Linked DNA regions of Callithrix jacchus. The protein of the gene in region 1 binds, or shares a complex with, the protein of each later gene. Links are inferred from orthologs where the notes say so. Each region holds a gene or a part of one and is shown in the gene's direction. Other genes may lie near its edges.

Region 1 (7,443 bases):
GCTCACTGCAACCTCCACCTCCTGAATTCAAGCAATTCTCCTACCTCAGCCTCCTGAGTAGCTAGGACTACAGGCATGTGCCATCACACCCAGCTAATTTTGTATTTTTAGTAGAGACAGGGTTTCTCCATGTTGCTCGAGCTGGTCTCAAACTCTCAACCTCAGATAATCGCCTGCCTCAGCCTCCCAAAGTGCTGGGATTATAGATGTGAGCCACCTTGCCCAGCACTTTTTTTTTTTTTTTTTTTTTTTTAAAAACTCATATTGTCCCAGTTTTGGGAAGCTAAAGAACTCTATTTACACATTTGTAATGTTTTATAGAATTTCAGCTTTCAGAAAAGTTGCTCTGTTTAACTTGTTTAGCAGAACAAGTTAAAAATTAAAAAAAAAAAATTTTTTTTTAATTTCTGGGTGCAGTGGCCCACATCTCTAATCCCAGCACTTTGGGAGGACGAAGTGGGCAGATCACCCACCAGGAATTTGGGACTGTCTCTCCTAAAAATACAAAAAGTTAGCTGGGTGTGGCGGCAGACACCTCTAATCCCAGCTACTCAGGAAAATGAAGCACGAGAATCGCTTGAACCTGGGAGGTGGAGGTTTCAGTGAACCAAGGTCATGCCACTGCACCCAGCCTGGGTGACAGTGTGAGACTCTGTCTCAAAGAATAAAAAAGTAAAAGTTGCAAGAAATGTATAAGGTAGCCATTCTCATCAAGATCCCTTGACATTTCCTCCCCTTCCCCTTCCCCTTCCCTTTCCCCTCTCCCCTTCCCCCCCCTTTTTAAAAAATCTCTGCCTCCCAGGTTGAAGCGATTCTTATGCCTTCCAAGTAGCTGGCATTACGGGTGTGGCTAATTTTTCTATTTTTAGTAGAGATGGGGTTTCACCATGTTGGTCAGGCTGGTCTCAAACTCCCGACCTCAAGTGATCCACCCACCTCAGCTTCCCAAAGCCAAACTGCTGGGATTACGGGCATGAATCACCGCACCTGGCCTCTTTTTTTTTTAACTCCCCCTCCTGGACTCAAGTGATCTCCCTCCTCACCTCCTGTGTAGCTGGGACTATAGCTTGAACCACCATGCCCAGCTAATTTTTGTATTTTTTTTTTTTTTTTTTTTTTTAATAGAGACAGGGTTTTGCCATGTTGGCCAGGCTCGTCTCAAACTTCTGGGCTCAAGTGATCCACCCACCTCGGCCTCCCAAATTGCTGGGTTTACAGGCACGAGCCACCGAGCCACCAGGCCCAGCCAAGATCCCTTTACATTTTTTAAAAATTATCAAGGACCATCTGGGCGTAATGGCTCACGCCTGTAATCCTAGCACTTTGGGAGGCTGAGGCGGGTGTATCAGTTGAGCCCAGGTGTTCGAGACCAGACTGGCCAACATGTAGAAACCTAAACTAAACCTCTACTAAAAATACAAAAGTGCACTGGGCATGGTGGTACATGCCTCTAATCCCAGCTACTTTGAGGCTGATGCATGAGAATTGCTTGAACCTGGGAGGTGGAGGTTGCAGTGAGCTGAGTACTGTGCCACAGTACTCCAGCCTGGGTAACAGAGTGAGACTGTCTTCTTAAAAAAAATTAACAACCCACACACATTTTTTTATATCTATTATTTACAGTATGAAACTTTAAAATGTATTAATTTTTAAATAGTAAATCCACTATATGTTAACATAAGTTCTGTGTTTTTCATAAGAATAAGTTTATTTTCTACAATAAAAACATTTTAGTGAGGCTTGGTATGATGGCTGAGGCCTATAATCCCAACACTTTGGGAGGCCAAGGCAGGAGAATCACCAGGAGTTTGAAACCAGCCCTGGTGACATGGTGAGACTGTGTACAAAAAAAATTTTTAATCAGCTGGGCGCTGTGGCTCACCCTTGTAATCCCAGCACTTTGGGAGGGGGTGGTGGATGGATCATGAGGTCAGGAGTTCAAGACCAGCCTGACCAACATGGTGAAACCCTGTCTCTACTAAAAATATAAAAATTAGCCGAGTGTGGTGGCACATACCTGTAATTCTAGCTACTTAGGAGGCTGAGGCAGGAGAATTGCTTGAACCTGGAAGGTGGAGGTGGCAGTGAGCTGAGATCGAGGCATTGCACTTCAGCCTGGGTGACACAGCGAGAATGCATCTGAAAAAAAAAAAGGAAAAAAATTTAAATCATCTGGGCGTGGTTGCATGCACCTATGGTCCCAGTCACTTAAGAGGCTGAGATGGGAGGATTTCTCAAGCCCAGGAGATAGAGGCTGCAATGTACCATGATCACACCATTGCAGTCCAGCCTGGGTGATAGGGTGAGACCCTGTCTTTAAATAAAATAAAATAAAAAACTTTTAGTGAGAAGAGTGGCATTGTTTTTATTTTTGCAAGTCTGTTTAATGTCTGGCTTACAGTTGGATTCTCATCTGGTTTGGCATTCAGTCTGTCAAATATGTTGTTTTGGTTTAAGTTAATAAGGAAAACTTCACACAGGTATGTAGCTGATAAAAGGAGGGAAATTTTAGTAGTTTTTTCAGCTACTTATGGCTGTTCTTTGATACTACCCCCAATTTGAACAAGTGGTAGTTTCTTAAAGGTTAATTGCATTGTGGAATCTGAAATCATATCAGTGAACTCTTTTTTTTTTCTTTTTTTTTTTTTTTTTGAGATGGAGTCTTGCTCTGCCTCCCAGGCTGGAGTGCAGTGGTGCAGTTCTTGGCTCAATGCAGCCTCTGCCTCCTTGGCTCAATGCAGGCGATTCTCCTGCCTCAGCCTCCTAACTAGAACTACAGGTGCCCAGCTAACTTTTGCAGTTTTAGTAGAGATAGGGTTTCACCATGTTGACCAGGCTGGTCTCGAACTCCTGACATCAGGTGATCCACCCACCTTGGCCTCCCAAAGTGCTGGGATTACAGGCGTGAGCCACTGTGCCCGGCTGAGAATATTTTTTTTTTCTTTTTTATTGCATTTTAGGTTTTGGGGTGAGAATATTTTTAATAAGAGATTGGTAAAATATGATGGAGCTAGCACATACTTCCCCCCAACCCAGAAATCCAGGTTTTTAGACTTTTTAAATTTTTTTTCCAGCTCCAATTTATGACAATTCTGAATCTGTCTCTCAAATTGTTTCAAAAAAGGACTGATGTATAATTTGGAAATTCTAATCTAACAAGTTAATCAACTGTTGTTTTTTTGAGATGAGTCTTGCTCTGTCACCCAGGCTGGAATGCAGTGGCATGCTCTTGGCTCACTGCAGTCTCTTGCCTCCCAGGTTCAAGTGATTCTCCTGCTTCAGCCTCCCATGTAGCTGGGATTACAGGCACCCACCACCATGCCTGGCTAATTTTTTTGTAGTTTTAGTAGAAACGAGGTTCTACCATGTTGGCCAGGCTGTTCTCAAACTCCTAGCCTCAAGTGATCTGTCCGCCTTGGGTTCCCAAAGTGCAGGGATTAGATATGAGCCACCACGCCTGGCCCATGTTAATCAACTTTGAAGAGAAAAATAAAATCACATAATCTTAAACTGTTCAGCCTCTCATAAGAAAGCCAAATTATTATTTGTTTTTCCATGCTGCTTACTTGTCTGTCTGAGTTTTAGAGTCAACGGAGAAGTTCAAACTCCCATCAGCAATGCACCTGTCACACAGGAAGATCTCATCCTGTATGACCAGATATCATTCTCAGTCTTTTCTCTTTCTCCTACAGGGCTACACCAAGTCCATTGATATTTGGTCTGTAGGCTGCATTCTGGCAGAAATGCTTTCTAACAGGCCCATCTTTCCAGGGAAGCATTATCTTGACCAGCTGAACCACATTCTGGGTAAGGTTCCCGAGCCCTTCAGTAGCTAGATTTACTCACTTTGCCTGCCTACAGCTTACATCAAAGTCACTTCATTAAATTAAGAAGAGTTCTAATAACTCTTTAGCCTGTGGTAGGTGTGAATTTTTAGCCTTCCCTTATTAAAAATGTTAAGCAAATAACCTCCCAACCAATGTCTTTCCTGGACACTGACCTTAAAAAAAAAAAAAAAAAAAAAGTCTTAAGGACTTCTGTGTAAAAACGTAAGAGAAAGGTAAGCTTTGGGAGTGGTGATAAGACATTAATTACCAGGGTTCATTCTGACCCACAGTTAATGGTGTGTAGTCATTTGCCTTTGTCTTGATAACTAACAGCTAATTATTTTATCTGATAGGTATTCTTGGATCCCCATCACAAGAAGACCTGAATTGTATAATAAATTTAAAAGCTAGAAACTATTTGCTTTCTCTTCCACACAAAAATAAAGTGCCATGGAACAGGCTGTTTCCAAATGCTGACTCGAAAGGTAAATGTTATGTCGTTGATTAGTTTTTTTCTAAGGCTTAGCTTCGCATTTATTTGTTCAGTTGTTAGGTCACTAGCCTGAAAAGTGAGCCTGTAGCTATTGGATAATGCTTTCTTTAGTGCTCACTCTGAATTACTGTCTCTCCCTTTTTTTTTTTTTTTTTTTGGAAACAGTGGCAGTGCAGTAAGGGAGCCTGGTAATGACCGTCTAGTTCTCCACCTTTTGGTTTCTTTGTTAATTTTAACTTGCACTAAAGTCACTTTTTTTTTTTTTTTTTTTTTTTTTTGAGATGGAGTCTTGCTCTGTCACCTAGGCTGGAGTAGAGTGGCCCGATATCAGCTAACTACAATCTCCACCTCCTAGATTCAAGCAGTTCTCCTGTTTCAGCCTCCCATGTAGCCGGGCTTACGGGCACCCACCACCATGCCCGGCTCATTTTTTTGTATTTTTAGTAGAGACGGTTTTCATCATGCTGGCCAGGCTGGTCTTGAACTCCTGACCTCATGATCTGCCCTCCTCAGCCTGTCAAAGTACCAGGATTACAGGTGTGAGCCACCATGCCCAGCCTAAGGTCACACTTTTAGGGAAGTCTAGGACCCTGCAAACAAATTACACCTTTTTATCTTGTCACTTGATAGTTTTTAAAGTCAGGTTTATTGAAGAATAATTTACACAGAATAAAATTCATACTTTTTAGTTGTGTGGGCCTATTGAGTTTTAGTAAACATAAACTGTCATGTAACTACCACCACAATTGAGATACAGAATATTCCCATCATCCTCAGAAGTTGCCTTGTGCCATTTGTAGTCGGTTGTCCCTCTCTAACCCATCTCTGGCAATCACTGATCTGATACCTATCCCTATAGTTTTGCCTTTTCCGGCATGTCGTATTAATGGAATCATAGAGTATGTAACCTTTTTATGTCTAGATTCTCACGTTCAGCATACTGCATTTGAGATTTAGAAAAATTCATTTCATTGCTTGTGTCAGTCTATTCAAGAAATGGTGCTGGAACAATTAGACAACCATATGCAAAATTTGCAAAACTAAAAATGGACCATAAACCTAAATATAAGACCTAAAATTATTAACCTTCAAGAAGAAAACAAGAGAATCTTCATGACCTTAGGTTAGGTGGAGATATTTTAGAGCAACTGTAAAAGAAAATAGTTACATTCCATTTTTATCCTTTTTTTTCAGGTTAGCTTTGTTAAATAATTGTATTATCCTTTATTCCTTATTAATGCATACCTGTTAAATATATTAGGCAGCTAGTTTTTAAAACTTTATGCTATTATAAAACCACAATAGGCAGAATAATGACCTCCACTCACCCCCATGACTGTATTCTAATCTCTGGAACCTATAACTATGTTAGGTTATCTGGCAAACAGCAATTATGTTTGCAGATGTAATCAAGGTTGTTCATCAGCTGACTTTTTTTTTTTTTTAACTGCTCCTTACAGAGCAAGGCTAATCCATGGCCAGTGTGGTATGCCCAGAGTAGCCCATCAGCTGACTTTTAAGCTAGGAAGACTATCCTGGATTATCTATCTAGCTGGGTGGATTATCTAGGTGGGCTAATTTATAAAAACAGGATACCTTAAAAGTGGAGGAGGGAATCTGAATAAGGTACTTGTCCTTCTGTATCTTTATCTACATATGTGTGCATATTTTCTCTATAATTTATTTTTTAATTATTTAAAGGTTAACTTTTTTAAAAATTTAGAAATTGTAGAAATATTTAAGAAGGTGAAATTCTTTTATAATTATTCCCTAAATGTGTCATTGTTAATAGAATTGTGTCTTAAATATCTTTTCCACATCAGTACTTATTGTTAATGATCTTACAGCATTTTTATCCAGTTTTGTATTATAAATTTAGCTATTTCTAACTTGGTATTTTATCTATATGTGTGAATGCATGTATGAATATATGTGTATTTGTATATTTAACAACTGTCTTCTTAAATGTTGAATTGGTTTTATGTATTGACCTGAGTCAAGGTTTAGAAATACTTGGTTGTTTAGAATTGAATTTCTTTTGAAGATGGGAGAAACATTCTTTTAATCTCTCATATAAATGTATAGAAGAATGTCATATAGGAGGAATAGGTAAGGGAGTAAGAACTACTCCTGATCACCAGGATCCGACAGTAAACTTTCACTTTTTTTTTTTCTTTTCTTTGAGACAGAGTTTGGCTCTTGTTGCCCAGGATGGAGTGCAATGGCTTGATCTCGGCTCAGCGCAACCTCTGCCTCCTGGGTTCAAGCGATGCTCCTGCGTTAGCCTCCCGAGTAGCTGGGATTACAGGCATACGCTACTGGCTAATTTTGTATTTTTAGTAGAGATGGGATTTCTCCATGTTGGTCAGGCTGGTTTCGAACTCCCAGCCTCAGGTGATCCACCTGCCTCAGCCTCCCTACGTGCTGGCATTCAGGCATGAGGCACCACACCCGGCCAAAACCTTTCACTTTTTTTGTCCTAATGTGTGCGAGCTTCTGTCTGTATGGTTGTAATTATATAATGTATTTTGGTTTTGAGGGGTTTTGGGGGATTGGTTTGGTTTTTGTTTTCTGGGTTTTTTTTTTTGTAGACAGGTCTGGCTTTGTCACCCAGCCTGGAGCACAATGGCCCAAACTTAGCTCACTGCAACCTCAGCCTCCCAGAGTGCTGGTATTACAGGCATGAGCCACAGTGCCCGGCCCTAATTTTGTATTTTTAGTAGAGATGGGGTTTTACCCTGTTAGTCAAACTCCTGATCTCAGGTAATCCACCTGCCTCAGCCTCCCAAGGTGCTGGGATTACAGGCGTGAACTGCCACTCCCAGCTGTTTAGCCACTAAAATCCAGGAAATTGTTTTCAGTGCTCGTATTGGGTGAATATAATGAAGAAGTAGGGAAAAGCTATACATTAAGAAAGTGGAGAAATGGGAATTGGTGGTGCTGCAGGGAGCACTAGAGCATCAGGTGTTAGGAATACCGGTTTTGTAGCCTTACCTCATGTGTTCAGTCCATAAACCAGTCTCTTACTAGCTGTGTGACTGTTAGACAAACTGCTTAACCTCTCTGGGTGTCAGTTTTCCTTTTGTTTCTTTTTTTGGAGGTGTTGAGATGGTTGTGTTTTGG
Region 2 (8,230 bases), on another chromosome or scaffold:
CTCCCCAAGATCCTCCCCTTGGATTATTAGAGGGTGGTGGCCCTTGCCTCTGGGGGCCAACTGCAGCCCAGCAAGGAGCTCCTTACTTGCTAGGGGCTGGCAAGGAGCAAAGAATTCTGGGAATCCCAGATTTAATGGCTTTCCCTGGGGGGCTTCTGATACTGGGGACAGGGAGCTGTGGCTCACAGCCCTGGAACTAGGGGTCACTAGAGGGGGAAACAGAGTCAGGACGTGCATGGCCAGAGCTCGGGAGGGCTGAGGGCACCCCCCACAGCTTCAGATGGAATAAGGCTGACTCTCATGATGTGTCATGCCCTGTACCAGCCCTGCCCCAGCCTGGCCTGGTGGTTTGGGACGCCCCTCTCTGTCCTCCCTGGAGTAAACTGCCCTATCCAGGATGCTGGGAGACCCCCAGGAGTGACTCCTTCGGGAACCTCCTCAGTGCTGGGGTGGAAGTGCCTGGCTTTGGGGAGAAAGTCAGCAGTGAGGAGGAAGAGGGAGGCTGGGGAGCGGTGAGACCCATGACCTCCTCACCCTGTGCCGCTCCCAGGCTCCCAGGCCCACTTCCCCAGCCAGCTCCTCCAGCTCCTCGCTCCTCTGGCCTCTGACTCCCGAGCTCTCCATGAGCAAAGCACTGCACAAGCTGGTGAGGGAGGCGCTGTGAACATCCCCCAGAAGAGGGAGGAAGCTGAGGAGGAGACCGAGGCGGATACCGAGGCTCAGGGTGGCTCAGCGACTTGGCCAAGGTCACACAGCTAATAAGCTACATTCAGACTCACATGCACAGGTCTTTCTGATTTCTGACTATTACTATACTTTCTCTGGAGTCGAGGGTGGCTAGAACCTAAATCTCAACCCAGGAACACAAATCAATTCGAGTGATGGAAGTTTGAGAGCTTGCTGGGACCTTTCGGCCCCAGGAGTGGGAAGTTCTGGAGGGGAGAGGGAGTCACTCCCAGGAGCCTCCCAGCAGCCCAGATGGAGCAGAGTCCACTCCAGACAGGTCAGAGAGGGGTGACCCAAGTCACCAGGCCAGGCTGGGGAGGGGCTGGTGCAGGCCGACAGGTGTCTTGTCCCTTCTGAGGCTGCAGTGGGCACCCTCAGCCCTCACGAGCTCTGGCCACACACCTCCATGGATGTCCAGGCATCCCTAAGCACAGGAGAAGAGAGAGTGGGCAGGAGGCAAAGAGTGACTGTCCCCTCCACCCTAGACCCACCCAGAGGGAACGGGGGATCCTTGAGGTCCTGCCTAATGCCCAACCACTACCCCCGCCCCCAACTATCTTGCCCATCTCCTAGCTCCCAGTTTCCTTGCTCCTTGCTCAGAAGCTCAGCTTCCAACTGCTCAACCATTGCCAGGCCTCAGTCTGTGGGGGAAAGGGGTGGGCTCACAGCCAACAGGGCCTGGACCCTGGAAACTTGGGGCCACTAGGCAGACCTGTGTGGGGAGGGCTTTGTCGCTTCCTCCTCCCACCCCTGTGGTGTCCTAGCTTCCTGTTCTTGATAACAATCAACATAGGCCCAGAGCCCAGCCCGCTTTCCAACCCCCACCTGCCCCCACCTGCCCCCTCCTGCACCCCCAGGGCCCCTGCTACCCACCGGTGGAAACACTGACTGGTGTAGGGGGTGAGGCAGAGGCCAGTCGCTGGGTCACTGCCTGCAAGCACAGTAGGGGCTCTCAGGCTCCCGCTCCTCTCCACTCTGTCCTGAGCACAGGAGCCAACCCCTTTCCCAGCCCTAATCCGCCTCCTCCTCAGGGAAACCCACCCACTCCAGAGAGGAGCACAGGCTGCAGGAAAGAAGGCACCAGGGTCTGCTGGCCATGAAGGGACTCAGAAAAGAGCCAGCCCCTGTCCCCACTGCCAAGAGCAAGCGCAGGTGCTGGGAGGCCTCCTGAGTTTCAGAGGGTTATTGCTGTCCTTCATATCCAGCCCTCCCCAGGGGGCCAGCAGAAAGCCAGCCCCTCCCGATCACCCCCTCCAGCGTGCCTACCCCTGTGCCTATGGTACCTCATTTCTTTTTTGCTGTCACCATTTGACAGCTGAATCAGGGAAGTGGGAGGAAGAAAGAGGACGTGGATTGTGCGTGTTGGGGGCCGGGAAGGGAAGGGTGTTTGAAATATTACAAGGTAAAAGGAGGCGTGCAGCAAGCGTGAACCAGCTGGGCTGCTGGCCCACAAGGAGCCTGCCAAGGCCAGGCAGGGGCAGGGGGCAGAGGAGTCTTGCACTTGGGGGCCACCCCTCAGGTCCCAGGCACCCCAGCAGCGAAGAGGACATGGGAGTCCCCTGCTGTGAGGGCCAGAGACTGTCTGCTGTCTGTAAGTCTTCCAAGCAGATGTCAGGGTTCTGGGAGGAGGCCCGCAGGGGATTGGGGGCCCAGGGGAAGCCCCTCAGATTCCCTCCTACAAGTGGACTCTGCTATCTGCCTACGGAGAGCCCGGCTGTGGCACAGGGCATGGAGACGACCTTTTTGGCCTGGCCGGGGCCTTTCCTTCCCATTGTGAGGCATGGATTCTTGCCTCCTCCTTTTCCCCACCCCAAGTCTGTGTCACATCTGCTCTGGGAAGATGTGGTCTGTGCTTGGCCATGAATTCCCAAGGCTTGAAGCAGCAAGGGCTTCGAGGGAGAGGGCTGTGGGGCAGAGGCAGAGAAGCAGAAAAAGCCTCTGGCCAAGGTCAAGACCCAGAGGAGAAACACAGCAGGACGGGAGAGGGTCTGGAAGCCGGGGGAAGCAGGATGGTAGAAAGGCCTAGCCCCTCACCCATTCCCAGGAAACAGGGCCTTGGGATCCATAAGGGCAGAGGCAGGAGGCACCCGACCCCTGGTGGCAGCAGCAGCAGGCACAGGAGGGCAGCATGCAGCTGGGGTATGCGTGGGTGGCAGCAAGGAGGGGCGGAGGGAGGAAGCTGGCTTCCTGAAGCCTTCTCAGCCCTCAAAGACAGACTGACAGACAGACAGACAGCTGGCAAGAGGCAGCCTGGGGGCCACAGCTGCTTCAGTAAGTATCTGAAGGGGGACCGGGAGTCCTGTGGCCCTGGGGGTTGCGAACTCCAGGGATATAAGGGGGCATCTGCAGGAGGGAGTATGGGAGGGCGAGTGGGGTGCTACAGGGCCTGGCTGGGGAATGGGTGCTCACAGCCCTGATGTCCCCCAGAAGGGGGTAAGCACGGAAGCCACAGGGAGCTGCAAAGAGAGCGGAGGCTGAAGACCCCCTTTCTGCTGCCAGAGACCCTCTTTCTACCACCCACACCTGCGCCGGACCCTCCCTGTCCCCTTACCTCCATCCCTGCCTTGCTGACTAATCACCCCCACCACCTTGCCCGCTGTGACCCTGGCTCTGGGAGATACAGACTGTCCCCAAGAGGAGATGGTCCCACCATCTGCATGCCCCCTGTCTTGCCCCCAGCTGTCGCCTCACCATGCACTGTCGCTCAAGGGCTTGGTGAGGCCATTTCCTGTGACGGTTACAGAGGCGGGAGGCGGGGGATGGGCAGGAGGAGGAAGGAAACACCCCCAGCCTACCTCCCTGGACAGACACCCCAGAAGCCAGAAACGGACTTAAGAGTGGAACATCAGCAGTTAGGAGAGGACCCTGCCGGGGTCCTAGAGCTGGCCTGCCTGGCTGCCCACCCATCTCCAGCACTGCTGCAGCTGCCATTCCCTGTTGAGGAGAAAGCCCACTGGTTAGCTCCGAGATGGCTTCTGCATGCTTTCTCCCTTCCGTCCTAGAGAACACATGTCTTCCATTTCCTCCCTTGCCTTCTCCACTTGGACCCGCAGAGCCCTGTGTGGCCTCTCTCTTCTCTCTCCTCCTCCTTTTGGCTTCTTTCCTATCTTCATCCACAATCTCTACCTTTATCTTGCCGTTACTCTAACCCCAGACTGCCTTCTGCCCTGGGTCCCACCAAAGAGATCCTGTCCTTCCTGTAGTGAACATGAGGCTACCTCTTGGGAAACAGGAGATGCCCCAGTGAAAACGGAGCGCAAAGCCGGCCTGGGCGTGGAAGCCTCCTTCTGGCCAATCAGGCAGGCCAGGGAACAGCAGCGGAGGGCCCTGTCTTTCAGGCAGACCTCATGGCTGAGTGAGCCTCTCCTGGGCCCAGCACCCCACCCCAGCATGGTCCAGGCCTGTGGAGGGAGCTCCACAGCCCAGCCACCGACCATTTCTTTGGGGGCAGCCATGACCCAGCCTCTGCCTGCCAAAACGCCAGCCAAGAAGCATGTGCGGCTACAGGAGAGGTAAGATCTCCCCTGGGGGAGGGGTCTTCCCGGCCCTGAGCCCCATTCCCTTCCTCCCTTTCCTCCACCTGCCCCTCCAGCTCTGACAACATAGTCCAATTGTTGACTCCAGTATGCAAAGGAAACCAGTAGTGCTCATTTGCATGTGTTTTGCATGTCTGGAGCACAGAGTTTCTTAACAACCCTGAGCCTGATCCCTAAATTCCAGGCCAGGCCAGTGGCCTTCTTGGTGCTGGATGCACGTCAGAGCCACAGGGCCTGGCTGGGAGTGGGAAGAGGCAGGCAGCTGGAAGGAGCAGTTGAGTTCAAGGCTGCCCTGTCTGGCTGACACAGGGCTGAGCCCGGCATGGTAGCTCATGCCCAAAATCTCAGCACTTTGAGAGGCTGAGGTGGAAGGATCTCTTGAGTCCAGGAATTGGAGACCAGCCTGGGCTAGGAAGGGGCGGGGGGGAATGTATACAGCAGGGGCCTGAACCCTAAATTCACTGGGCCTCCAGGTTAAAGTAAAGACAAGAAGCGGCCCCCTCAGAGGTGCCTCATAACAGTAATACTTGTAAGAAAAGCAAGTATGGTCAGGCACAGTGGCTCATGCCTGTAACCAGCACTTTGGGAAGCCAAGGCAGAAGGATCACTTGAGCCCAGGAGTTCAAAACCAAAAAAAAAAAAAAAAAAAAAAATTATTTTAAATTAGCCAGGCACAGTAGCATGTGCCTGTGGTCCCAGCTACTCCGGAGGCTGAGGTGGGAGGATCGCTTCAGTTCAGGAGTTTGAGGCTGCTATGAGCCATAATAGTGCCATCACCTTCCAGCCTGGGCAACAGAGAGAGACCCTATACCTAAAAGAAAAGATAAAAAGCAAAACAAATACGATTGGGTGCTCACTAGGCAGTGTGGACTGTGCCTGCAGGCGGGGCTCCAATGTGGCTCTGATGCTGGATGTCCGGTCCCTGGGGGCTGTAGAACCCATCTGCTCCGTGAACACTCCCCGGGAGGTCACCCTACACTTTCTGCGCACTGCTGGACACCCCCTTACCCGCTGGGCCCTTCAGTGCCAGCCACCCAGCCCCAAGCAGCTGGAAGAAGAATTCTTGGTAAGAAATTGAGGTCCCTTCTGAATTGCTCTGCTCTGTGTCAGAGGCAGCCAGCTGGAACCATTCTCTCACAGGGACCGTCGGCCTGTCTCCTCTTTGGACCCTTAGGAAAGAGAACTCTAGGGCTGGGGGAGGGGGCTCCACCTGGGCTTCGCCTTCTGCAGCCACCCCATCTAGGCCTACATATTAATATCAAGAAGGAACAGCCAGAGCCCAGTTGTTCTAGAAAAGAATAGAAGAGGAGAAAAGGCGGCTAGGAAGGGGAGTCAGCTGCTCACTCATTTCTTCCCCCTGCCAGAAGATCCCTTCAAACTTTGTCAGCCCCGAAGACCTGGACATCCCTGGCCATGCCTCCAAGGACCGATACAAGACCATCTTGCCAAGTAAGATCTGCAGCTAGGATGAAGGGAGTTAGGTATAGGCCCTGGGGCTGGAGAACTTCAGAAGGCAAGGTACACCGTTTCAGCCAGGGAAGGATGACCTTACTTGGGGCATCTTCTCTCAGCAGAGAAAGGGGGAAGAAGGAGCAGGAATGACAACAGCAGCAATAATAATGTTTGCAGATGTGCACCCTGGGCCAGGCCCTGCTCTCAGTCCTTTATATTCACTAATTTCTCATAACGATCCCATGAAGTTGGTACTGCGATATTATGATGACCATTTTACAAATCGCTGTGCCTTCACACTAAGGCACAGAGAAGTTGAATCTCTTACCTAAGCTATTCAACTTAGCTACTTGCACCAAACCCTCTTCCTCATTTTTCTCTCTCATGGGAAATGCCCAGCCAAGGCTTGCAGTGAAAGAAGGACCACTAAGAGGGCTCCCAGAGAGAGGGCTTTGAGAAAGTCAGATGGAGGAGGCAGGGCAACAGCCAGCAAGAGAGCAGTAGTGGGGGTGGGGATGGAGGATACTGGGCTAGGAGGGGGTGACCCTGCAAGCTGACAGACACAGAACCAGCACCTTCTATTTTTCAGAGGCAGGCACGAAGCCCCGGGGCCTCTGCCTCCCTCCCCCTCTCACCCTACAGGGAAGCTACTCCCAGCTTGAGGCTTTAGCTCTGGAGCACACGAGTGCTGCCTCCTGCTAACCCTCCTGGAGTGCCCTCTGCCTGCATGGGCGGATCAAGGGGCTATTAGTGCTATTCCAAGCCACGGGAAGGAGTAGCCCTTGTTCTTGGCCTAGTTCTAATCAGCACTGCAGCCACCAGAAAAGGGAAAAATCCCTTTGCTTGAGATTCCTGTGGTCCCCAGGACACCCTCTGGCCATGAGCAGGCTGGTATGAGCAGAGTGAGAGTCTCTTCTCCTTTCCTCACAAGCCGTCTTCTTCATTCATGTTTGGGCATGGAGGAAGAAATGAAATTTAGAGAATTCTTTCCCCTTAGAGGCAGAGGCCAAATGCCTCACGGCTAAGTAGGATTTGAGTCCTAGTCCCACTTCGTGGCTGTGTGATATCTGACAAGTTGCTCATCTGAATCCCGTATTCACCATTAGAAAACAAATTCTTCTTCCTCTACATCTCTTTTTCCATTCCTATTGGCATAATCTTATTCTAAACCCGTACTGATCTCAAGGATAGAATCACTATATCTATTAGAATATTATATATTTCTTAGGCCAGGTGTGGTGGCTCATGCCTGTAATTCCAGCACTTTGGGAGGCCGAGGCAGATGGATCACCTGAGGTCAGGAGTTCAAGACCAGCCTGGGCAACATGGTGAAACCCCATCTCTACTAAAAATAAAAAAATTAGCTGGGCGTGATGTTGGGTGCCTGTAATCACAGCTACTTGGGAGGCTGAGGCAAGAGAATTGCTTGAACCTGAGAGGTGGAGGTTGCAGTGAGTCAATATCATGCCATTGCACTCCAGCCTGGGTGATAGAGCAAGACTCTGTCTGAAAAAAAAAAGAGTATTATATCTAATATTCCATCTTCCCATTTGGTCTCCGCTGCTCCATTCCCTTTCTATAGTCCATCCTATACAGCACCACTCAGTTAACCTTCCCAAGCTATTCCTCTGATCACGTCACTATCCTGCTCAGAAACATTCTATAGCTCCCTACTGTCTGAGTATAAAATACTTCAGTGGCGGCCAAACATGGTGGTTCACACCTGTAATCTCAGCACTTTGGGAGGTCGAGATGGGAGCATTGCTTGAGGCTAGAAACTTAAGGCCAGCCAGGGCAACAAAGTGAAACCATTTCTCTACAAAAAACGTAAATGAATGAATAAATAAATAAATAAATAAATAAATAAATAAATAAATAAATAAATAAATTAGCCAGGTGTGGTGGCATGTGCCTGTAGTCCCAGCTATGTGGAAAGAAATATTGCTTGAGCCCAGGAGTTAGAGGTTGCAGTAAGCTGTGATTGCACCACTGCACACCAGCCTAAGCAACAGAGTGAGACCCTGTCTTTATTTATTTATTTTGAGACAGAGTTCGCTCTTGTTACCCAGGCTGGAGTGCAATGGTGCAATCTCTGCTCACCGCAACCTCCGCCTCCTGGGTTCAGGCAATTCTCCTGCCTCAGCCTTCTGAGTAGCTGGGACTACAGGCACGCGCCACCACGCCCAGCTAATTTTTATTTTTTTTTGTATTTTTAGTAGAGATGGGGTTTCACCATGTTGACCAGGATGGTCTCGATCTCTTGACCTCGTGATCCACCCACCTTGGCCTCCAAAAGTGCTGGGATTACAGGCTTGAGCCACCGCACCCGGCCTGACCCTGTCTTTAAAAACAACAATGGTTCCAGTGGGGTATCAGGCCGCCTGCTATATACAAGGTGCCATGACTGTGATGAGCACAGGAACTCTCCTCCTTCTGCCCCTGCTGGAGTCTGTGTTAGTTGGTCACCTTTTGACCTCTGCTGCTGATTTCTATTTCCTAGATCCCCAGAGCCGTGT
Region 3 (8,052 bases), on another chromosome or scaffold:
CTTTTCACAGGTTCTCAATTCAGAAGGATAAAAAATTAACTCAAATCAGCTAATAGCACCCCATCACCATTTTAGGACATTTCACCCTACCCATTTTGTCGTCACAGGGAACATGAAGCAGACAGTTTTATATTAATTATGCCGACGTGGAAGACTGCAACTTACAACCGCTAGATGATTTAACTAAGGGCGCACACCTAGATAGAAGCTGGATACATAATTCAAACGACGGTCGTCTCACTCCAGAAGCCCTTTACGCAGCATTTCTAGGACTGAGCGGTCAGAACGTCACTTTAATCAATATGCCAGGAAAGACTGGCATTCCCCTGGCGAAAGAGTTCAGAAGCATGGGTAAAACTAGTTTCGATGTGTCCTCCTGAATCTATAGTCATATTCAGGTAGCTGCACTTTTAAAACAGGCAAAGTGGAAACCCAGCTTCCCTCCTTTTCTCTTCTGTTGGAGGTCCTGGGCTGCACCTCCAACAGGTTTGTTCTTCCCAGTTCCGCTTCAGGACACCCTGCCTCTTCCCTCACTGTCCCCAGGTCCCAATGACTGAAACGTCTTGGTATGGGAACTTCTGTGACAGATCGGGGAGGACAGGGGGAGTCAACTCCAGCGCAGGCCTCCCCCGGCTGAAAACTAGAAGATATCCAGTGAAATACAGGAGTTTAGTTCCAAGGGCTGCCCAAAAAAGGTGCGGAGAGGAGAGCGGCAATCTCCACCTTCGTCGAACACGCTCCTCCCGGGGCGGCCTGCCTGCAGCAGAGCTCCAAAATTGGCAACCCGGGCCTCGCAGCCGCCTTTTTTTAGCCTACATTTCCCAAACCAGGGAAGAGGCGGCTGACTAAAAATGCAAATTGCAGCAGGGGCGTCAGCAGGCATGCCCGTGGGTGCGGGGCGTCGGGCGAGGGGAGACCCCGCGACCTTAGGCGCCCTCGCGGTGCTGGGTGGGCGCAAAGCGCTGCGAGGGACGCTACCCAAAGCCGCACCCCGCCGGGAGGCTGCCCCGCTTCCGCCTCCCAGGCAGCGGCGGGACAAAGCGCGGCCTCTTTTCCGCCGGGGTTTAGGGAGGGGATGCCGGATTAGGGCCCGCGCCTTCCGGCCGCAGCCCTCCCGCTCCAAGCCGGCCGCTCGCAGGTGGTTTTCCGCTCGGGAGGGTCAGGCCTCGGCACTTTTATATAACAATAGAGCTGTGCGCGCCGGGAACGCGCCTCCCCGCCGCCGCGGCCCCCACCCGGCCACGCCTCCATCCGGCTTCCAGTCCATCCGCCCCGCGGCGCCTGAGTCAAGCGCCGCGAGCTGGCCTGGCCAGCACCTCCGCAAGTTACCTGCTGGCTCTGTAGGGCGGTAGGGACGTTCCCCGCGACTCCTTGAGAGCCAAGGGCCGGGGGGGGGGGGTCCCGGCAGGCACTCGTCCTTGCTCCCCCCACCACCCGCCCCAGATCTCTATGGAACCCGGAGTTCCCCGCTCAGCCCCGCACCCGTCCACTGGATCGCGCAAAGCCTCGTGCCTGCCAAGTGGGGAGACGGGGGCAGCGGGGCGGTGGCAGGGAGCGCAGCGCGCAGGCGCGGCTGGTGCTCTAGGGAGTGCCAGGCGCTGGACAAAGGGAGGAGGCGGCGGCAGGAGGGGGCTGGGGAGGCCCCCTCTGGCATGCCTCCCTGCCAACTGTAACCAATAGCGGACCCCCCCCCCCCCCCGCTGAGCCCCCGGAGCCTACAGACCTTGCGGGAGGACTTCCCCACGCCTCGCCAATGGCGGGGACTACCGGCCCGGCCCTGCGTGTCCCAGCACACTTCATCCAGGCAGTCCCGCCAGACCGGCTCCTCCGTCAGAAGCCGAGCTCCTTGCCCAGAAATCATTAACCAACGCGACCCCCCAGCAGGCGGTGATGGTGGTGGGGTCGGGGGAAGAGATTTAGATCTCCAGAACAATGGCTCGTAACTCCCCACGCCGCTGGAGCGGAATACAGTAAAAGTACTGGACTGCCCTAAGAGTTTGTTTCTGTATTCCACATTGTTTTAAAGAAGATAAAATGCTACTTTAAGAAAAAAGGTTTTCTTCTGATTTTCTGGACAACCAAACATTTGTTTGCTTTAAAATGTTTCAACAGAATCCCGGCTTGTTTCGAAAGATGTTGGATTAGCATTTAACACCTCATCGGTCACTAAAGCCCCGTCAGTTCACCAGCCCCAACACAGTCTCGGCTAAAAGAACATCAGAGCAAACAGAGCTGGGGCTTTAAAGCTGGCAAACAAATACCACACACCGCCTAGAGAAGGGGGGTTGGGGCGAGGAGGATTAAAGCGAACTTGGGTCCAAATGAGTTAGAAGGGGATACAAAGAACAAAAAGTCAGCGCAAGTTTTCCTAAAGCTAGCTCCGGAACGCAAGCGTCGCGAACAAGGGCTTTTGTGCATGCTAATTGCGCCATTGGTGCGCAAAAGTTCCGACGCGAAGTGTGAACTCTCAACAGAAGGAAACATGAGACAACTGAAGTGCCCTGGCTTATGTGCCCTGCTCCTCCTCTGCTGCCGCCTCCCCTTCTTTCTCCTTCCTCCCGCCGAGCCCGCTGTTGCAGCTTGTTTGCACTGGGGCTTATCCGGAGCGGAAATTCCTTTCCGTTTTTGTGAATGACAAACTCATTAACAATTCATCAACACAACCTGTTCCAGCCGGCCCGTCCCCACGGCAACAGCCCCTTCCGCAGCTCGCTCATTGGCTGGCCCGGAGAATGTATCCATTGAGACGCTCGCTGTTTGTATCCATTGAGGAGCTGCCTCGCACTGGGGGTGTGCGAGGCTGAGTCCCAGGGATAGTGAGCAAATCGAGTCTTAAATAATCCGAGGAGAAAGACGCCCGGGTAGATTTGAGGTGCAGCCTTGGAGGGAGGGATTAGGAGCCGCTAGACATTTTTTTCCTTCCCTCTCAGTAACACGGAGTCCGAATTAATTGGATTTCATTCACTGGGGAGGAACAAAACTGTCTGGGCAGCTTCATTGAGAGAGATTCATTGACACCAAGAGCCAGCGGCTGCAGCCGGGTGCAGAGAGAACCTCTGGCTTCACTTCTGTCTCGTTTTCCCCAATCGCCAGCCTCGGCTTGGGTGAGGCGAGGCGGACTTAAACCCCGCTCTGAGAGCGGCAGCTTCGCGCGCGGTGCGCTCGGCCTATGCCTGCCCCGAGGGGCGTCTGGTAGGCACCTCGCCCTCTCCCGCAGCTCGACCCCCATGATAGATACGCTCAGACCCGTGCCCTTCGCGTCGGAAATGGCGATCAGCAAGACGGTGGCGTGGCTCAACGAGCAGCTGGAGCTGGGCAACGAGCGGCTGCTGCTGATGGACTGCCGGCCGCAGGAGCTGTACGAGTCGTCGCACATCGAGTCGGCCATCAACGTGGCCATCCCGGGCATCATGCTGCGGCGCCTGCAGAAGGGCAACCTGCCCGTGCGCGCGCTCTTTACGCGCGGCGAGGACCGGGACCGCTTCACCCGGCGCTGCGGCACCGACACAGTAGTGCTCTACGACGAGAGCAGCAGCGACTGGAACGAGAATACGGGCGGCGAGTCGGTACTGGGGCTGCTGCTCAAGAAGCTCAAGGACGAGGGCTGCCGGGCGTTCTACCTGGAAGGTACGCGCCCGGGGAACTCAGCTTGCGGGACAGGGCGCAGGGCTGCGGGCCGGGCGCGTGGACTAAAAATGCCTCTGCCGCTGGCGCTTCAGAGCCGCGCAGCTTGCCCAGGGGCCGGCAGCGGCGAGGTAGGGGCCGCGACCCGCGCGTTCCGCACCGGAGAACCGGGCAGGGGCAGAATCCACCCGCTTCCGGCCGCGGTTACCGGCCGTTTCTTTCTAACGGGTTCTGAGCCCTTCTTACCCAGAACATCCTCTACCATCACCCTGTTTTCTATCGTTCGATTTTGAATTAAGATTTGCAGGACCGGAGAGGTTGTTGGGGGTGCAGATTGGCACATCCTAGTTTCTCAAAATATTCCCAAAAGTTGCCATTTTGTATATTTCCGGATTTAAACGAATAAGGGTTCCCTGGCGAGGCGGGCCCGTTCGTTCCATTCCCAAGGGTGCACATTTAAAGTGTGTTTCTCTTATTATGTATGTCGGGGGGGTTTGTAGGGTGCTTGTGGTGTTTCTTACGCCGGGGTGGTTCTTACAAGCTGTGAAAACTACTACGACTTCTCGGGTTACACGATTGCTTTTCTCGTTCTGGCAGGTGGCTTCAGTAAGTTCCAAGCCGAGTTCGCCCTGCATTGCGAGACCAATCTAGACGGTTCGTGTAGCAGCAGCTCGCCGCCGTTACCAGTGCTGGGGCTCGGGGGCCTGCGTATCAGCTCTGACTCTTCCTCGGACATTGAGTCTGACCTTGACCGAGACCCCAATAGTGCAACAGACTCGGATGGTAGCCCACTGTCCAACAGCCAGCCTTCCTTCCCAGTGGAGATCTTGCCCTTCCTCTACTTGGGCTGTGCCAAAGACTCCACCAACTTGGACGTGTTGGAGGAATTCGGCATCAAATACATCTTGAATGTCACCCCCAATTTGCCGAATCTCTTTGAAAACGCAGGAGAGTTTAAATACAAGCAAATCCCCATCTCGGATCACTGGAGCCAAAACCTGTCCCAGTTTTTCCCTGAGGCCATTTCTTTCATAGGTGAGACTAATTAGTAGTCGTTGCTCTGACATTTAAATGCAAAATTCCCAGCCATTCATAGAGTTTAAGCTGTTAATCGTTCTTTCTGCTTGCTAATTTGTCAGACTAAAGGTCTCTAATGTTTCTAGAGCGTCCTTAATTCTGTATTATTTTCTTGCTAAGGGAAGAAAACCTGCCTTTTGACATGGATGCAGATCACCTATTTGAAATGCTGTTTCTTGAATCTTTGAATTCAGTCATTTGACGGGGGTTGGGATCGTTCATAATTGGAAAACAGATTTTTCCCACAGTCTTTGGACTCAGGGGAAGGGTCAAATAGAAGTACTCACTATACACAGGAATTCCAGCATTGCTTTATAATTTAAAAACCTAGGAGTTATATTAGGACGTCAAGTTAGTTGTTGGAAAGCAGTATGAATGCTGAGTGTTACCCAGTTGAATGATACTGTGATACTGGTAACAGTGAGACAGTGGGTAACCTGAGCCCAGCAGGAAGAACTGTGGGCTGGAAGCCTGGGAGAAGTGAATCTCTAGGCATTGTAATGCACTTCCTATTACAAAGGAACTCATTTTCAAGCCATGTCGACATCCTGTTCCTCCTAATGGGCTGTCCCCTGTGACTTCCCTCTCTCTTTTAAAATGCCTGAATACCTCCATTGTTAACTGCACAACATTTGGAGAATAATTTAATAGACCCTTGCAGTCTGCTTGTCTGTATAAAAGGCATTCACGAACATATTGCAGGGTTTCTGGTATTCACATGCTGAGGCAAAGAATGCACCCATTAAGGAGTTTTTTGTTGGCAGAAACTTAATACAAAAGCTCTCTTTTTAGAAAACATCTGAAATATGTAATTGTGTCCACTGTACATGTTTTATTTCAGTGATACATTTTCCATTGCCCGTATGGCTCAACAGCCACACACAATTATTATTATTATTAAAGTTCAGTTTTTAGACTGATCATTCACAAAGTATATTTTCAATACACTGAGATCTTGCTTTTCTTTTTGTGTTCACAGATGAAGCCCGGGGCAAGAACTGTGGTGTCTTGGTACATTGCTTGGCTGGCATTAGCCGCTCAGTCACTGTGACTGTGGCTTACCTTATGCAGAAGCTCAATCTGTCGATGAATGATGCCTATGACATTGTCAAGATGAAGAAATCCAACATATCCCCTAACTTCAACTTCATGGGTCAGCTGCTGGACTTTGAGAGGACGCTGGGACTCAGTAGCCCCTGTGACAACCGGGTTCCAGCACAGCAGCTGTATTTTACCACCCCTTCCAACCAGAATGTCTACCAGGTGGACTCCCTGCAATCCACGTGAAAGACCCCACACCCCTCCTTGCTGGAATGTGTCTGGTCCTTCAGCAGTTTCTCTTGGCAGCATCAGCTGGGCTGCTTTCTTTGTGTGTGGCCCCAGGTATCAAAATGACACCAGCTGTCTGTACTAGACAAGGTTACCAAGTGTGGAATTGGTTAATACTAACAGAGAGATTTGCTCCATTCTCTTTGGAATAACAGGACAAGCTGTATAGATACAGGCAGTAGGTTTGCTCTGTACCCATGTGTACAGCCTACCCATGCAGGGACTGGGATTCGAGGACTTCCAGGTTTATAGGGTAGGACCAAATGGTAGGGTAGGAGCATGTGTTCTTTAGGGCCTTGTAAGGCCTTTCCTTTTGCATCTGGAACTGACTATATAATTGTCTTCAATGAAGACTAATTCAATTTTGCATATAGAGGAGCCAAAGAGAGATTTCAGCTCTGTATTTGTGGTATCAGTTTGGAAAATAAAAAATCTGATACTCAATTTGATTACTGTAAATATTTTATCTTAAATCACTTGATAGTGTTTGTTTGAATTATTTGTTTTTTCCTTTGATGGGCTTAAAAGAAATTATCCAAAGGGAGAAAGAGCAGTATGCCACTTCTTAAAAGAAGAAAGAAAGAAAATTGTGCTCTTTTCTAATCCAAAGGGTATATTTGCAGCATGCTTGACTTTACCAATTCTGATGACATCGTTATGGACACTATTATTGCTAAGACCTTGTTATGGTGAAATCTTTAGTCTTTTTCATGTGTCTTCCTCATGATTTTTTTCTCTTTATGTAGTTTGATTATGCCTTACCTTTGTAAATATTTTGGCTTGTGTTGTCTCAAAGGGGATAATCTTGGAAACACACCAAATCATGGGCTCACTTTTTTTTTTCTTAAACTTCAGCTGTGCTAAACAGTATATTACCTCTGTATAAAATTCTTCAGGGAGTGTCACCTCAAATGCAATACATGGGTTGGTTTCTTTCCTTTAGAAAAAATTTGTATAAAACTGGAAGTGTGTGTGTGAGCATGGGTACCCATTTGATAAGAGAAATGCATTTGATTGTGAAGAAGGGAGAGTTAAATTGCTCCATTATGTTCGTGGTGTAAAGTTTTGAGCTGGAATTTATTATAAGAATGTAAATCCTTAAATTATTAATAAATAACTATTTTGGCTATTAGATGTGTTTTGTTTTTAAAATATCTCATTAGTTATACCTACATGTGAAGTGACACATTTTAGAAATTTTTCATTCAGGGATTGACTTTGACTTGTAGGCATAGCAGGGCAAAGTTCTTAACTTTTAAAGCTTTTCCTGGAATGTTTTTCAGGGGCAGTTTATGAAATTCATCCTTTGTCACAAAAAAGGATGACATCCTAGAATGGACTGACTATCATGTATATGAACAATACCTTTTATAAGTATAGTTCAGCCTTAAGATTTTAATGCCTCTGAAGAAAAATGAAGCTATAGAGCATAGGTTGCTGAGAAATAAAATTTGGATATTAGTGAATAGCCACAGAGAGGTGTAGCACAATAAGCTGACAGCCACATACTAACCTCCCCTCTATCCTTCACCGTCAGGATTCTTTGCTCAATAATGCTGAAGGATGCCAAGGAGAAAGTAGGAATAATTCTTTTTCCATGTGTTGTCACTGCCTGGCAATGCTACCTGCATATATCCTCGTATGAGAATGATGAATTCGGAATGATGTCTCCATTTCCCCTAGCATGTGCACGGCAAGGCATATCTAAGCTTTCTCACTGTTTCAGGATATGGCTTTAGAATTTTACATTGGCACTTAAGAGGAAACTTTGTCATCCTGTTCTAATGTGCTTTTGTGTTTAACTGGTTCAGAATGTAGGTCAGAAATCCCTATTGAAACTTGTGGGAATTATACTGAATAGTTTCTTTTTAAGCTAAAGACTTCATATCTTGTCATTTTCCTTGAGACCTACCCTTTCCTCACCTCAAGTGTAAAAGTATACAAACCAAAGTAAAAGGCAGGTGTATGGAATCAAAAGAACTAGAACATACTTACATTTGGGACTCCTTTGCATGAGCTCAG

The links. The genes of interacting proteins can lie anywhere in the genome.
Region 2: the proteins of MAPK1 (region 1) and PTPN7 are in contact, whole or in part, in a crystal structure (PDB 3D42), measured with the Homo sapiens proteins. The link is inferred for Callithrix jacchus from reciprocal best matches to the Homo sapiens genes MAPK1 and PTPN7. Residues at the interface, in NP_002736.3 of Homo sapiens: Thr185, Glu186, Tyr187, Val188; in NP_001351807.1 of Homo sapiens: Arg124, Tyr125, Lys126, Ile128, Asp257, His258, Ser292, Ala293, Gly294, Ile295, Gly296, Arg297, Gln335.
Region 3: the proteins of MAPK1 (region 1) and DUSP6 are in contact, whole or in part, in a crystal structure (PDB 2FYS), measured with the Rattus norvegicus proteins. The link is inferred for Callithrix jacchus from reciprocal best matches to the Homo sapiens genes MAPK1 and DUSP6. Residues at the interface, in NP_446294.1 of Rattus norvegicus: Glu79, Glu107, Thr108, Leu113, Gln117, Leu119, Asp122, His123, Tyr126, Phe127, Gln130, Thr157, Thr158, Cys159, Asp160, Tyr314, Asp316, Asp319; in NP_446335.1 of Rattus norvegicus: Arg64, Arg65, Leu66, Gln67, Lys68, Gly69, Asn70, Leu71, Pro72, Val73, Arg74.

The regions. Positions count from the first base shown.
Region 1 is NC_133502.1:193,753,694-193,761,136, reverse strand, and holds part of MAPK1 (mitogen-activated protein kinase 1), read left to right. Parts: intron 1-3,692; coding exon 3,693-3,807; intron 3,808-4,180; coding exon 4,181-4,312; intron 4,313-7,443. UniProt on the Homo sapiens protein: Serine/threonine kinase which acts as an essential component of the MAP kinase signal transduction pathway. MAPK1/ERK2 and MAPK3/ERK1 are the 2 MAPKs which play an important role in the MAPK/ERK cascade.
Region 2 is NC_133520.1:29,189,248-29,197,477, reverse strand, and holds the start of PTPN7 (tyrosine-protein phosphatase non-receptor type 7), read left to right. Parts: upstream 1-2,939; 5' UTR 2,940-3,705; coding exon 3,706-4,238; intron 4,239-5,144; coding exon 5,145-5,328; intron 5,329-5,626; coding exon 5,627-5,711; intron 5,712-8,214; coding exon 8,215-8,230. UniProt on the Homo sapiens protein: Protein phosphatase that acts preferentially on tyrosine-phosphorylated MAPK1. Plays a role in the regulation of T and B-lymphocyte development and signal transduction.
Region 3 is NC_133510.1:91,813,599-91,821,650, forward strand, and holds DUSP6 (dual specificity protein phosphatase 6), read left to right. Parts: upstream 1-2,761; 5' UTR 2,762-3,227; coding exon 3,228-3,627; intron 3,628-4,221; coding exon 4,222-4,659; intron 4,660-5,680; coding exon 5,681-5,988; 3' UTR 5,989-7,162; downstream 7,163-8,052. UniProt on the Homo sapiens protein: Dual specificity protein phosphatase, which mediates dephosphorylation and inactivation of MAP kinases. Has a specificity for the ERK family. Plays an important role in alleviating chronic postoperative pain.